Linked DNA regions of Drosophila melanogaster. The gene in region 2 interacts genetically with the main gene of each other region. Each region holds a gene or a part of one and is shown on either strand. Other genes may lie near its edges.

Region 1 (6,775 bases), about 13 Mb from region 2:
TTACAAGTAAAGCCAATTCGCTTGGGAAATATCTTTCACTTTCAGTTCTATCTAACTGTTTGTCCAAATGCTCGCGTACCGAACGCGCCGAGAAGTATGCAACAACTGAGCGACAGATCGAAGCGACAACGGACCTTTATAAAAGCGGCAGAAGGATAAGGCCGAAACGAAACAGGAAGCCCGACCGGCAGGACACGAAGTTCAGCGGAACACGAGCTGCCTCGGCTTGTGTGTGTATGTGTGTGTTTGTGTGGGTGTGAGGGTGTGTGTGTGTGCTCGTGGATATCAACAATTGGTCGAATAGAATCTGAAACGATACGAGGTGTGAGTGTGTGAGTGTGCGAGTGTGGCGATGCGGTGTGTGTGCTCTTTTATGCGGCCGCCACTTCAGCGTGGAATAAAAAATTGCCTCCTCGCCGGAGCAATTGAATTGAACGGAAATTCTGTTTGCATATGTGAATAAAACATATGCAAAAAGTAGGCAAAATGCGAAAAAGGCATAGGCACAAAAGGAGCAAAAGATACGAAAAGTGAAATGAGAATGGGAGCAACAGCATCCAAACTGGCCAAATGGGAAAGTTTCGCGTATAAGGAAATATTAATTTCGTTTTATATTACGTATGTAGTCCCGTACTCGTTGCTGTTTTTGGTTTATTTTAATATTTATGATTTACCATATGCCTGCGAGATGGACAAATAAAAATTATGCACTTTGTTGATTTTTCCCGGGCTGTTTGTCCAAAAAATTTGTAATTAAAATTGTTCCCATATGACGCATATAAAGCAAACAAAACATTGACCTTTCAAAAAGTGTGTTGGGTGTTCGAAACATTTATTGGCTACAAACGAGATATGCAATGAAAATAGACTACGTTCTTTGGAAATAGTTGGTTATAAAAGAATGTTGTGCTTTTTTATGTATATATTGCAGTATTTATGATTGCATTCAATATATTAGCCATGAATATTTTACATTTTAAATACATCAAAATTATTACGGAATCGATTCGATTCGATGCAACTATAAGATGCATTCCATACCTGGAGTCTCATTTTGACTTTTGAGCCGTATTTCAATCATTTTGAAATAAATCAAATTTAAAGCGGCCAAGCGGGTTCGTCTCAAATGCGTCACAAAACGAGCCGGAAAAGTCGTTGCAGCCAGATTTCAACGGGTCGCGACCATCAACAATGCACTTGAGGCGAGGTCGCGGCATTTGAGATAAGACAACACCCGGATCACCCGCATCACCCGCATCACCCGCAGCAGGCGAATCCCTCCACACGCCACTCGGAAAGGCCAAGTGGATGCCACACACATCCGGGGGCCAGCTCGTTGCAACTTGCAGCCACTACAACGCCAGTTTTTCGGTCTAAAATTAAACGTGGAAGCATCGCCGCTTCCTGCAGGCATCTTATCTTCGCATCCTTTCTTGCAGGACTGCCTTCCGCCTTTTCGGGCAATTGAGTCGTAAATGTTACAGTGTATAGAGAGCCCGCTGAAAAATTTGCATTTAAATTGCAACAGATTTCGGGGCAAAAAAAAAGCCAATTCCTCACCCTCCAAACAATTAGACGGATTTCCAACTAAACGAGCTCCAGTTTGGTGGTGATAAACAATTGTCCCCGGTGATGCAACAAATATTTACTCCAACCATTTGGTAAACATAATTAGCATTTAATTAAAATAAAATTGCCCATCGATAGACAAGCAATTTGTGATTTGATTATCAAAATCAAATAAGACCGCCGCCACAAAGCCTTTTCGCTTGTGCAAATAGCCGTGCCGCTGCAGAGCCACATAAATATACATGTAGCCATTGGCAATCGGGAACAGGACCGGATCGTATCCGGATCGGCGATAAGGTCCTCCATCGCTGGAACCATCTGATAACTGCGAAATATGTACGTTAAGTGTGCAATTGATTGGATTATGACCCTTTGCTGTGCGTATGGCATTTTATGGGTCAGTGATAGACGGCAAATTGATTTTGTTTTGGTTTGGTTTCGTTAGCCTCTATTTTTGGATGCGCCATTGCCACCTGTTGCTCCGAATTAGTTTTGCTGCCGCTGCACTTTGAGCAGGTGGTGCAAATCGAATTTAAAATTGCATTCCGCGCGTGGGAGGTGTACAAATATCAAGGGAAGAGATACTCCGCATGTTCAACTGAGATGCAACGAGGGAAGGTACATTTATTCGTTACAAAATAAGTAGAAAATTGTAGATAGACATTGGGACTTGGGTAATAATATTTAATCATTTTTAATTAAAACTGAAAGTATTTTAGGGACAATAAACAAGTGCACTGCCTTCCATAAAGGCCTGCTTATTGACCATCAACTTTTTGCGCTGCCCTCGCCATTTTCGCCTTTTTGTCGCTCAGATTGCTTTGTTATTTGTCAACCATTTATTATTGTTCAAATAAAACGTATCCGCCGCCCATATGGATCGTCGAAACACAATTGATTTATACGATGTGCAAAAGGTTGACAGTCGTCCCTTTACTGTAAGGAAATTACTGAACTTTAACAACCTTCTAAAACATTTCAAGATTACAAATGGCGAGGGTAATGACTGAAAATGAATACAAAGAATACGTCTTTAGATAACTTTAATGTTAAGAGTCTAGTTCAATTTAAATTAAATTAAATAAAATATGATTTAAATTGGTGTGAAATTGATTTTAGTTATACATAGGACTATTTTACCCGTCTTACAAAAATAAACCAACCATTAATAAATTTTTACATAACATGCGTTATACATGTTTTTATTTGGAGGATTAATATTGTAATGAGTATTTAAGGCTAGGCGTAGTAACTAAACAATTACATAACTGGAATGACAAAATCTATAGAGCTGTGAGTAGTATATGAACAATTTTGATAGAGCTGCAAGAGCTGAGCTGAGTTGCATACGAGGCGGCCGCACGAGGTGCCACTAAAGCTTGGTTACCCTCAACAATCATATCTAGGCTAAACTATATCGATTCAATTCACATAAATTACCTAAGACGAGTGTGGCTAGAGAAACGGGTTTGGCAGGCGAATCGAGTGGGTTACTCGATCCGTATGACCCCGGCTCCGACACCACCACTGTGTGCGCACATGGGCGGCATAAAGGTCCATTTGTCGGTCTCCGGATCGTACACCTCGACTGTAGACAAATTTGACTCGCCATCATAGCCGCCGATGGCCCACAGTTTGCCCATGTTGGCGGCCAGAGCCACCCGCGAGCGTTTGCAATTCATTGGTGTCACCAGCTTCCAGGTGTCCGTCTGAGGGTCGTAGCACTCTACGGATCGAAGGAATGAGTTGCCGCAGTAGCCGCCGCACACGTATATCTTTCCGTTCAGCGTGGCCACGCCCAGTCTACAGCGACGATTCAGCATGGGCGACATCTTAACCCAGACATCTTCGGCCTGGTCGTACCGCTCCACCGAATCGAATATGGACAACCCATCATGACCGCCAAGGGCGTAGACGTAGCCGTTCAATTGGGTAACTCCACCAGCCGAACGATATTTCATCATTTGAGCAACCTTCGGGTAGTGAAATTAAAGTTGGATCAGTTTTCTTACCCATCTGGGTTACATAGAATGTTTGTTTACTTACAGTCTTCCAAGTGTTAGACTTTGGATAGTAAACTTCAACGGTGTTGAGCGACGTGACGCCGTCGTAGCCGCCGCACACATAGATACAATCATCCAATGCGGCCACGCCCACGGCGCTGCGTTTGCAGAGCATGGCACAGCCCTGGGACCACTTGTTTTTGCGCGGGTCGTAGACCTCAACGGTGGACAGACGTTCGGTGCCATTGAATCCACCAAAGGCGTACAGCTTGCCATTCAGAACGGCCACACCCACGCGAGATCTGTCGAAAAATTGGCAATTAGTATGGGATAGAATAGAAATAAATGCTCCTCGCACACTCACCTCATCATGGACATTTGTTCGCCCATTTTCCATTTTTTGGTGAGCGGATCGTAAATCTCGACCGTGCTCACAGATTCCCCAGTGCTGGCCAGTCCTCCCACGGCGTATATTTGTCCGGTAAAGAACTCACCGGATCTCTGGCGCGTGCGAAAGCTCTGCAGCAGACCCCTGCGCTCGGGCATGAGGTGAAAGTCCTTGGCCTCGTCTAGGAGATCACGGCATTGGTGCGAGGATCGAATGAGTTCCTCGCGGGCCACACGGTCCGCCAGGAACTGAGGCGAGAGCAATGGCAAACGCACTGCAGCCAGGACCTGAGGAAAGAGCTCAGAGCGCTTGTCTTCTGCGTACTTGACCCACTTCATGCAGGCCTCGAAGATGACCTCCTCGGTGCGTACGTTGAGTTCGTCCCGGCGCATCAGCTCCAGCAATTGTTCGCAGTCCAGGGCGAGAAACTCCTCCGACTGCGAGACTTTGGCAAAGTTTTGATCAATATACTTGTCGGCAGCGTCGATTAGCTGCCGGCAGATCATGGAGTCGGCGAAGGTGCGGATTCCCAGGACATTGTGCGGATGAAAGCGGGAGATCAGGAAACTGGCACAGGCATCCCGCACGTTGGACAATTGCAGGAAGCTGGCGCCCACCATCAGGTTCTGCACATTCTGGTTGTCGATGCGCACTTGGCCGCTGTAAACATAGTTGATCAGACTCTCCAGGGCACTTGGCTCTATGGCGCTCTCCTTCATGGTGATCTCCTTGATCCGACTCTCTGCCATGTTGTTGGTGAACATCGCATAGAAATACGGGATGGTGGCCGCCAGCACAACGCGGTGCGCTGAGAAGGTCTGATCTTCAACCTGCAATAATTGGGATGGCATTTTATATTTAGACGCTAGATAATGAACGTATCTCTGAGCTGCGGGTGATTGAATGCCCCAGTCTGCACGCAAACAACCTTTAGGGTGACATCGCACAGCTTGCCCATCCTGCGGATTTCCTTGAACAGGGGGAAACTCTCGCCGAATAGCTTATCATGCTTGTAAACAAAGTATTGATCCTCCACTTGGCTATTATCACTCAAATCCATCACTTTAACGGATCAAGAAAATGATAAACAGTAGAGATGCCAAATGTTGCTTGTACTGCAGAGCTAGTGGTGGTCAGTGGTGAGCGGTCACATTAATCGATAGTTGAGGTTCCTTCGATAGTTGAACAACACCAATAGTAGTGAAACAAATTTATTGAATCATATTGTTTAATTTTAAAGGTAACGTTCTTGGACCAAAATGTAATTTCATAATACTTATTAAAAAGTTGAGCCCTTTTTATGCAACAGTGATAATTAAATCCTTAAAAAGCACATATTTTTAAGACAATATTATTCTTTCATTTAATTTTAATTAGTAATTTTTCCGTTTTTGCGTCACCTTCTTAAAAAAAGACGCTCATCACTAATTGGGCGGTGATGACAGCCCTATCAGCTGTTAGTGTGGCTGGAGTGTTTTCTTCGCTCGGATTGATTAAGGGTCCAAAAACATTTTCGAGTAATCTGGGTCGCTTGCTAATTGGAAAACCACTGATCTGAGTTAAGACATAAATGTTTGGACCGCTATTAAATGCAAGGATACGAAAATAGCAAGTAACATGGAAGCCGCATCACCGAGGGAAACCCAGGTGAGTAAAAAGGTGTCGCTAGAATTGATGATGACGTCTCATCTTGTTATTTGCATTTGCAGAAGAACCCGAATCCGATCGAGGCGCTGAGCAAAGATGAAATCATCAGCAAATACAAAGGCCTGCTCAACATCGCTAAAAAGGCGAAACAGGCAAAAGATGGTAAGTTTGATGGAGAGTTTCAGGGAATCTTCCAGAATAATGCAAGCCACTCTCTTTCAGAACTCACCGAGGAAAATCACCGACTCAAGGATGCCCTTAAACGGGCGGCGGAGAAGCAGAGCAGCCTGCCAGCCATGCAGGAAATGGTCCAGGACTTCACCGATAAGAACCTCATCCTCACCGAGGAAGTGAATAATCTGAAACGAAAGACCAAAGAGGATGCCGATCGACTGACGCAATTCGAGATCGAGAACGAGAGCCTAAAGCGCCAACTTGGGCGACTGAGTGATGAAAACGATGCCCTCCTTGCCAATGTGGATCGCATGGAAAAGGCTATGCAACAGGTCAATGCTCTGGGTAACGAGCAGCGCAAGAATCTGGAACTTTTGGAAGTGGACATTGCCAAAATTAAGGAAGCGGAGGCGGAAAACGCTAGTCTTCGCCAGCAAGTCGCCACGATGGAAGAAGAGTCGAGTGTGCTGCAGCAAAAGTACCAAAACATCAAGGAACTTAACTCTGAGCAACGCAAGAAGTTTAATTCTCTAAAGGACCGCTTCATTGATGTACACCGCAAGTTGAAGAACCTCAAGGAGTGCAAGTGCGTGCTGCTGGAAACGCAGCACGAGTACGCCGCATCCGTTTCCAAATGGCAGGTGGAGATTATCAAAGCTTCGCAACTGTTGTGCGCAAAGATGGCATCCCTGCAGGCCGAGAATGAAAAACTGAAGCTGAACAATGGAAAGTCAGACAATAATCCTCAAACAATTGACACTGGAATTGACCGCAAGCGCTTGCTGCAAAGAGTTCAGGAAATGGATCGGCTAGCCAAAATAGTGAAGCAGAAGCAAAAGAACCAAAGGAGCAATTTGAATGTGGAGTACCTACTTAAGAAGATAACCGCTCTCGAAGAGCTTGCAGTCATTATAAAGCAGCAGCATAGAATTGACAAGGAACAATTGATAAGTGTAACGAAGGAGCAGGAAAACACCAAAAATCACGCCAGGAA
Region 2 (7,479 bases):
TAAGTGAAGTTTGTTGATTATCTTATCAATACCTTGGACTTCTAGTTACCTTCCATTTTTCAAATAGCAAAACCTAAGCATTCTGATAGGGCTTATGAACTCACAAGAACCAATTAACTTAAGGGCAACATTACTGGGAACTATTAATGAAACTATTTAAGCCTGCCTTCCATTTGGATATTGGAATTTAAATATTCAACAAGAATGGAGAGTAATATTTTAATGAAATTTAAAACATATATTTTAAGAACCTATTGTTCTTAATTAATCTAATTGTAAACAAGAACATGTAAAAAAACATTTGTTTATAAAGTTCTAATAATAAAATAGAAACGAATAAAGCTTGGTAATGGTAGCAAGTATCTCGCCGTCGAATCATCGATTGTGTCTAAACTCTTTGATTAACAACAGGTGTCCGTCCGTGTGGGCCACTTTTGGTGTGTCTGCGTGATAATTTTCGCAGCTCAAATAGAAAGTGCAAGAAGAGAGTGGCTATCGCCGCCACTTCCTTCCCCGATTTTATATACAAAGCCCAAACGCAGGCGCCGAATGTGCTGACCACTGTAGTCCGAAACCGATAACAGAACCATAAACAAATACATTTCTGTAGACGACCAGCAACTGATTTCTCTGTTTATCAAAAGACCAGGCGAAGTGTGTGTAATTTCCAGAAGTCGCACGCATTTTACACCCAGCCACATGTACAGTTAGAACAACAACAATAGGGACAGCTGCGCCCTGAGTTCTTGTTGTTGTTTTATGCGTAGTGGGGTGGGAAATTGGGTGGAAAGGGGATGAATTCAATCCAGAAAAACACTTACAATGTGCTCGCGTACTGTATTGTGGAACAATTGCAGCTTTAGATCCGTAACCTCCTCCTCCTCCTCTTCGTCCATGCCCACGAAATATTTGGACAATTTATCGCTGGTAGCCAGTTTTCACAATTTTTCCTAGATCACGCCTCACTTAAAAATGTTACATACACATTTGACAGTCGCCAGAGTCTGTCAAATTCCTATGGGCAACAGTCCTTCTTAGTAATGCGCTCCAGGTTACAAATTTTCTGAATTAAAGTCGCTGTGGCGCTGCACTGTCTGATTTCGCACGGTAATTGTGATTAATTTAGTTAACTTTTTGATGCCGCATTGCCTTTCGACCCGTTTTGCGCTGGTCACTAATTTTCTACTAGCATTCGAGCCGATTTACGACCGAAACGTTAAAAGATTTCTATAAACTGGCGTCAGATTGACCGCATCTGCTAGAGGTGGACAATTGACGATAGGTCGATAGCTTTCGATGTATGTGCTTACGTTTAGAAAGGAAAATATTGAATCTCTAAAAAAAAAAAAATTGAATTGGAAAGAAAATACTGAATTTAAAATTTTTATTGACCTCTATTATTAGAGAAAAAAATATTATACCAATGCAATATCTTCAAGTTAAGAAAACTGTAACCCTAAAAACTATCAATTGGTTCAGACATTCTGGCAACCTTACATCTGTCAGCTGTTACCATACAAAAATGTCCAATTTGCGGCGCCAGGTAAATTAACTTAAAATCATAAATAATCGGTTAATATTGTTTGTATTCCAGGTTCTCAGTGCTTTCAAGAAGCTCCACCGTACACGACAATACGTTTTTCAGGGGGATGCCAATGCTTTGGCGGCGGGACGACTAAAAATCAACGAATCTTTCCTGCAGAATCGTAATGAAAGCAGCGAGGATGAAATTCAAAAGGTTTAACCACTTTTTGTAAATTCTAACTAAGTACATATATGGCAATTTGGCAAATTACAGATGATCAAGCTGGCGCAGGACGTGGATTTGGAGCTGCGAACGAATGTCATCCAAGCCCAGAAAAAAGAGGATGGTGTTTATGGTCAGTGGGGCATGGCGATTACATAAAAGAGCGCTCAAAATTAAAATTTGGCTATATTTACAGAACTAAGGATCACGCCAGAGACAACGCGACTCGACAATGTGGTCTTTAATCCTGACGCAATTATCGAAAAACCGCGCAGGCAACGCGGCGACAAAAACACTGAAGGTTGCTGCGGTGGCGCTGCGATGGCGGCGCTGGAAGCCGAAGTCCAGGCCCGCAACAAATAAAAATATATTCAATATTTAGCTGTAGTCAAGATGGTTTTGTTCTGATTAATTACGTCGTTTATCTTTAATTTCTATTATGTTTCTTCTTCGATTTGTGACTACTCTTTGACTTGGACTTCTTTTGCTTGGATTTTGTACTCTTTTTGCGTTTGCTGCGATCGTCCGACGATGAGGAGCTGCTAGAGCTGTCCTCGGAACTATCTGAAGATGTGGAGTCGCTTTCGGATTCCGAGGAACTTTCACTCGAATCTGAACTGCTGCTAGCTGCTCGTTTCGATTTCTTGGCTTGCTTTTTGCTCTTTTCCACTGAAAGTTTTCTTTTCTTCTCATGACTCTTGTTAGGGCTTGAGTGAGTGTCCATTCTATGGTCTTCCCGGTTCCTGGATTGTTGCCTATAAAAAGATAGATAGATAGTTAAAGATTTTGTATACATCCAGATGCTTAACATTTTTACCTCCGCTCTGGCGATCTTCTTTGATTCCTGGAGGTTTCTCTATGCGATCTCTCATCGTTACGTCTTCCTTCTTGAGGGGAATGGAATCGCCTGCTGTCATTGCGATCTCTGTTTTGAGTCGGTCTTTTTCCAGTTTGATCTCTAGATCTAGAACGCCTTCTCTCATTTTGTTCCCTTGGCCTAGAGCGTCTTCTTTCCTTTTGGTCCCTTGACCTAGAACGTCTTCCTAATTGGTCTCTAGGCCTAGAAGGCCTTCTCTCTTCTCGATCTCTTGACCTAGAGTACCTTCTATGTGTTGCATCCCGAGACCTCGATGACCTTTTTTCATTGCGATTCCTTTCGCGATTTGAGTTCTCTCTGACTGACTCATTTTGCGATTTTTTCGATCTATAAACACTTTTTTCATCTTTTTCCTTCGATCTGGTGCGTCTTTGCAAATTCTTTCGAACATCTCGTTCGCTTTGCTCCTGGTGTCGCTGTTCTCTCGCTTTTCTTCGCTCTGCAGAGCTCATCCTATTTCGAAAATCTTCCGTCCTGTTGCGCTCCTTATGGTCTTCTGTTCTGGACCGGCCATTGTTTGGTTTCCTGTGATCTTTGTCGTCTCGCAAATTGTTAAAATCCAGCTTTCTATAGTCGCCCTCAATACCACGTCCTTTGCCCCGCCAGGTGACCTTTGAAACGGATTGGGAGAAGTCCACGTGGATGCGTCGATCGTCGATAAGCACATTATCCATTTTGAAATATGCGGCCTCACAAGATTTTTGATCCTCGAACTCCACAAAAGCATATTGCAGAGAATCTCCCGTTTTGCGGTCGCGAATCACCTCACATCCTTTAAGCACGCCGAAGCTACTAAAGATTATCTCCAGATCATCGTCGGTTGTAACAGGATTGAGTTTGCACACAAACAAGACATTTTCTGGCGGAGCCATGTCTGCATCGGGTAAATCGCCGACAATCTCAAGGATTGTGGCTCGAGCCTTGGCCTCTCGTTCGGCCAGCATCTCCTGCATCTCCTCCGCGGTCATGCCATCAGTGTCATCGATATCCTCGTCGGCAGCGATGCGCCCGTTCTTCAGACGCTCCGCACTGGGCGAAGGTGAGCGACTTGGAGCCTGAAGGCCGCGCGGATTAGGAAACGGATCCTCAAGCACAACAGTGTGTGTGATGCGTATATCCTGGTAAGGACGGAAGCTGTCGTCAACAATGGCGTCGTTTAGCTTGCGCAGCACCTCGTGACCTTCCACCACTTCACCGATAACGCAGTGGTTGCCGTCCAGCGATGTTAGGTTCTCACCCAGCGTGAGGAAGAACTGGGATCCCACCAGATTCTTGCCTGCACTGACCAGCGATAGCATTCCGGCACTGGAGTGGTTAATCTTGGGCAGGAACTCCGCCTCGAAGAAGCGCTTTTGCGGACCCTCCACCACGCCCCAGATGGAGGATCCGCCGTCTCCAGCTCCACTCGGATCGCCTGTTTGGGCGATGAATCCCTGCTGCACCGTGTGAAATAGATTGAAGTTATAGTACTTCAGCCGGCACAGCTTGAGGAAGTTTAGGCAGGCAATTGGGCGCTCGCTGATGAACAGGTCGACGGTCAGGTCACCCATCGTGGTTTCTATAACCACCGACATTGTGCGAATTCACAGATACCGGCAAAATCAAGGGATAAACAAGAACAATATAGAGGTGGAGAAACATCGATGCCAAATCGATATCATCGATGCTTTCGAAAAATCACAAACATCGATGTTTTTCGAGGAATCATCGATGTTTTTCCATCTCTACTGCGCATCGGAGGAGAGAAGTGTATAAATTGTAGGTATAAATTAATTATCCAAATTTTCTAATACAATTATTAATTTAATGTGACTTATGTCGGTGTTATATGAAACTTGTACAAAATTGGTATTTTACATAAATTTTGAAAAAAAAATATTTTTTTTTATGTACCCTAAACTGAGAAAAAAGTAAAAAAAATACAAACTGAACAAAACTGAAAAAAAATAAAGAAAATACAAATTGATCAAAGAAGTCCATACCTGTAAATGTAAATAGTTATACACGATGCGTAAGTTCATCCGATACTTGACATCGATTGAATATTTTAAAAACAGAACGTAACTTCGTAATCGCCATTTTCGATTGTCATTCGATAATTGTGTGTGTATCAGTGAGACTTGTCAAAGAATTTTCACACGTTTCGAGACTGGAAAAAAGTACAGAAAATTTCATTCCAATCTTAAAAAGCGACAATTAATAGTTAAGCAAGTGACCAGTGATCTAGAACAAGGTAAAATGCCCGAGGCAGGAAAGAAAATAGCAGAGTTGCGCGTGTGCGATCTAAAGAGTGAGCTGGAGAAACGCGAGTTGGAGACAGTCGGCCCCAAGGCGGTGCTCATCGAACGCCTTGAAAAAGTAAGTCCACAAATATGTATGCAACTTAAATGGCGGTTCAGTGCCGCTGGCGATAGAGATAGTGATGCAATTTCCGGGGATTTATGAATGTGTGTAAGCAACGCCTGGTTTTTTCTAATTTCAAGTCACTCAGAGCTGAAGGGCTCGACCCGGCCACCCACTTGATTGTGCCGGGCGCGAAGGCCAAGAAGCCGTTTGCCATGCCCATGAAAGATCTCCAGTCGGAGGTGGTGATCAAGGAAGAGCCCATCGATGCCAATGAGGAGGAGGTGAAGGTGGAACAGCAAGATGATTACCAGAATGGCAACGACTACTCGCATCATGCCGACGACGATGGGCATGAGATTGACCAGGTGGGAGATGTGGACGATGAGTGTGTGATCCTGGATGACGACGATGAAGAGGATGAGGATCATGTGTACGACGATGAGCCCCAGAGCGGTGATGGCGATGCCGAGGGGAAAGCTCAGGACGATGGAGCCGAGAACAATGGCGACGACAAGGCTATTATCCATGGTGAGGAGGAAAACACCGGGGACACCGGAAATATGGACAATGACGAGTCAATCAATTTGACAATTGGGGAGGACGAGCAGAAGCTGCTGCACGATGAGGTGATTTTAACTATTTGGCCTTAAATTGATGTATTCTAATCCAATTTGTTTTGTCCTCAGGCTTCCGACGACAAATCTATTAAGTCTGGTATGTTTGCAGTATCACTCAAAACCATAGAAAATTTATAATTCATGACTAGAAATATCATGGCGTTTGTATTCATGCAATCGATTAAGAAATACGAAATACAAGAAATAAAGCTAATATGTTAATAAAAGTTATCCTGATTCACAGTCAAACCGGCCAATAAATCCGAAAAGTCTAACTCGAAGGATGCCGACAAGAAGAATGACGACGGAGCTCGCTCCAAGAAAAGGGATGAGAAATCCGGTGATAAGAAGGACTCTAGGTAAGATTTGAAAACGTTTCTGTGACATGTCTTCTAATAACATAATATATTTTTTCTTTTCATTTCGCCACATGATTGTGCATAAATTATTATGGAAAATAGTGAACAAAAGTCCTCAGGAAAGTCGTCGAATCAAAAGGACGATAAAGGTAAATTAAGTTAAAGTTTTAGCATGAATAAGAATGGTGTGTTCGGATGGTCTTGCGTTGGGAATGATCAGACCAAGCATGAACCCAGTTAAGGTCGAAAAAATTGACTAAACCATTGAGGAACATGTATCAAAGACCGTGCAAGAGAGTGTGAATTTGGTTGGGACACGGACATGGGACTCTTATCAACAAGGATGCGAGAATTCGGCTCAGGAGCAGCGATGCATCTTAAATTCAGCAATTCGAGTTAATCTTAGTGTTTGTTCCAGTTAACTTCGACGGAAACTTCATACTAATCAAACACACATCCCAATGTTCTCCAAGGAGTTTATAACATTGGTCATCAATAGGCGTATGTGCAAATACTCCGTTGAGGGGCCTATAATATAAAATGAGGCTATCTGGAGAATAAATGGATGGCACCTTTCCCTTACTGCAGCTGGGAAGTGCGGATATTTTTAATTCTTCTCGGCAGATAACTACTGGATTTGTATTACATCACTTATTTCGATCCTGGCTAGGATATGCTGGCCTTACCTGTGGATGACGATGGAAACTGACAGCTATTTAAACAGTCAGCTCTGGATATGCTGCTCTATACTCTGAACGCCTTCAGCAAAAAGCGAGCCTGCTGCCGCAATGGATTTTCATCAGCAACCCAATCAAATTCATACTCTCTTAGCTTCGTTAGGTGAAGTTTGTCGGTAATCTTACGATTGTGCTCTAAACTCCAACATCTGCAGCAGCTACAAAATGTGTGCGTTCACAAAATGCTTCCCTTAAAAACGTATCATAAACAAAAACAGTTAACCAGTTAAGCCCACTCAAAGCTCTGACCATATCTCTCTTCCAATATTATTATTTACATGGAACTTGCAGAGAAATCGACAGCAGCACCTGGTGGTGCCACATCCTCCACTGCATCGAGTGCCGCTGGCAGTAAATCGGGATCCGGTTCCAGTGCTGGCAATGGTACTGGGGCCAACTCAAACAACAAGCAGGCGACGCTGTCGCGAAATCTATGGGTTTCTGGGCTGTCCACTTTAACCCGTGCCAGCGACCTTAAGGCAATCTTCTCCAAGTTTGGCAAGGTGATTGGGGCCAAGGTGGTCACCAATACGCGTACTCCGGGCACTCGCTGCTACGGATACGTGACCATGTCCTCCTCGGCAGACGCCTCGCGTTGCATCGAAAATCTGCACCGCACCGAATTGCATGGACGCATCATTTCGGTGGAGCGTACCAAGAACGAGATTGGCGGCAGCTTGAATTCCAAAGAGGGCAAGGGCAAGGCTCCGGGCGACGCCGGAAACAAGAAGAAGGAAGACGACAGTGGCAAAAAGTCTGGTAGTGGCAAGGGCTCCAGCTCCAACAGTGGCGATGA

The links. Genes that interact genetically often act in the same process or in processes that back each other up.
Region 1: of CG5808 (region 2) and KLHL18, changing one enhances a phenotype caused by changing the other (phenotypic enhancement), as found in Drosophila melanogaster (one study listed by BioGRID).

What each region holds. Positions count from the first base shown.
Region 1 is NT_033777.3:12,005,354-12,012,128, forward strand, and holds KLHL18 (kelch like family member 18), read right to left. Parts: upstream 5,082-6,775; 5' UTR 5,021-5,081; coding exon 4,889-5,020; exon of another isoform or gene 4,812-4,888; coding exon of another isoform or gene 4,791-4,811; coding exon 3,937-4,790; intron 3,875-3,936; coding exon 3,616-3,874; intron 3,543-3,615; coding exon 3,060-3,542; 3' UTR 3,010-3,059; exon of another isoform or gene 2,748-3,009; intron 2,576-2,747; 3' UTR 2,123-2,575; downstream 1-2,122. Other genes in the region: GCC185 (GRIP and coiled-coil domain containing 185 kDa), read left to right, coding at 5,578-5,607, 5,670-5,769, 5,830-6,775.
Region 2 is NT_033777.3:24,812,755-24,820,233, forward strand, and holds CG5808 (uncharacterized protein), read right to left. Parts: upstream 4,254-7,479; 5' UTR 4,199-4,253; coding exon 2,565-4,198; intron 2,503-2,564; coding exon 2,175-2,502; 3' UTR 2,149-2,174; downstream 1-2,148. Other genes in the region: lili (lilipod), read right to left, coding at 822-896; CG34150 (uncharacterized protein), read left to right, coding at 1,523-1,543, 1,595-1,738, 1,799-1,880, 1,944-2,110; Saf-B (scaffold attachment factor B), read left to right, coding at 4,863-4,982, 5,108-5,596, 5,657-5,684, 5,832-5,946, 6,049-6,095, 6,975-7,479.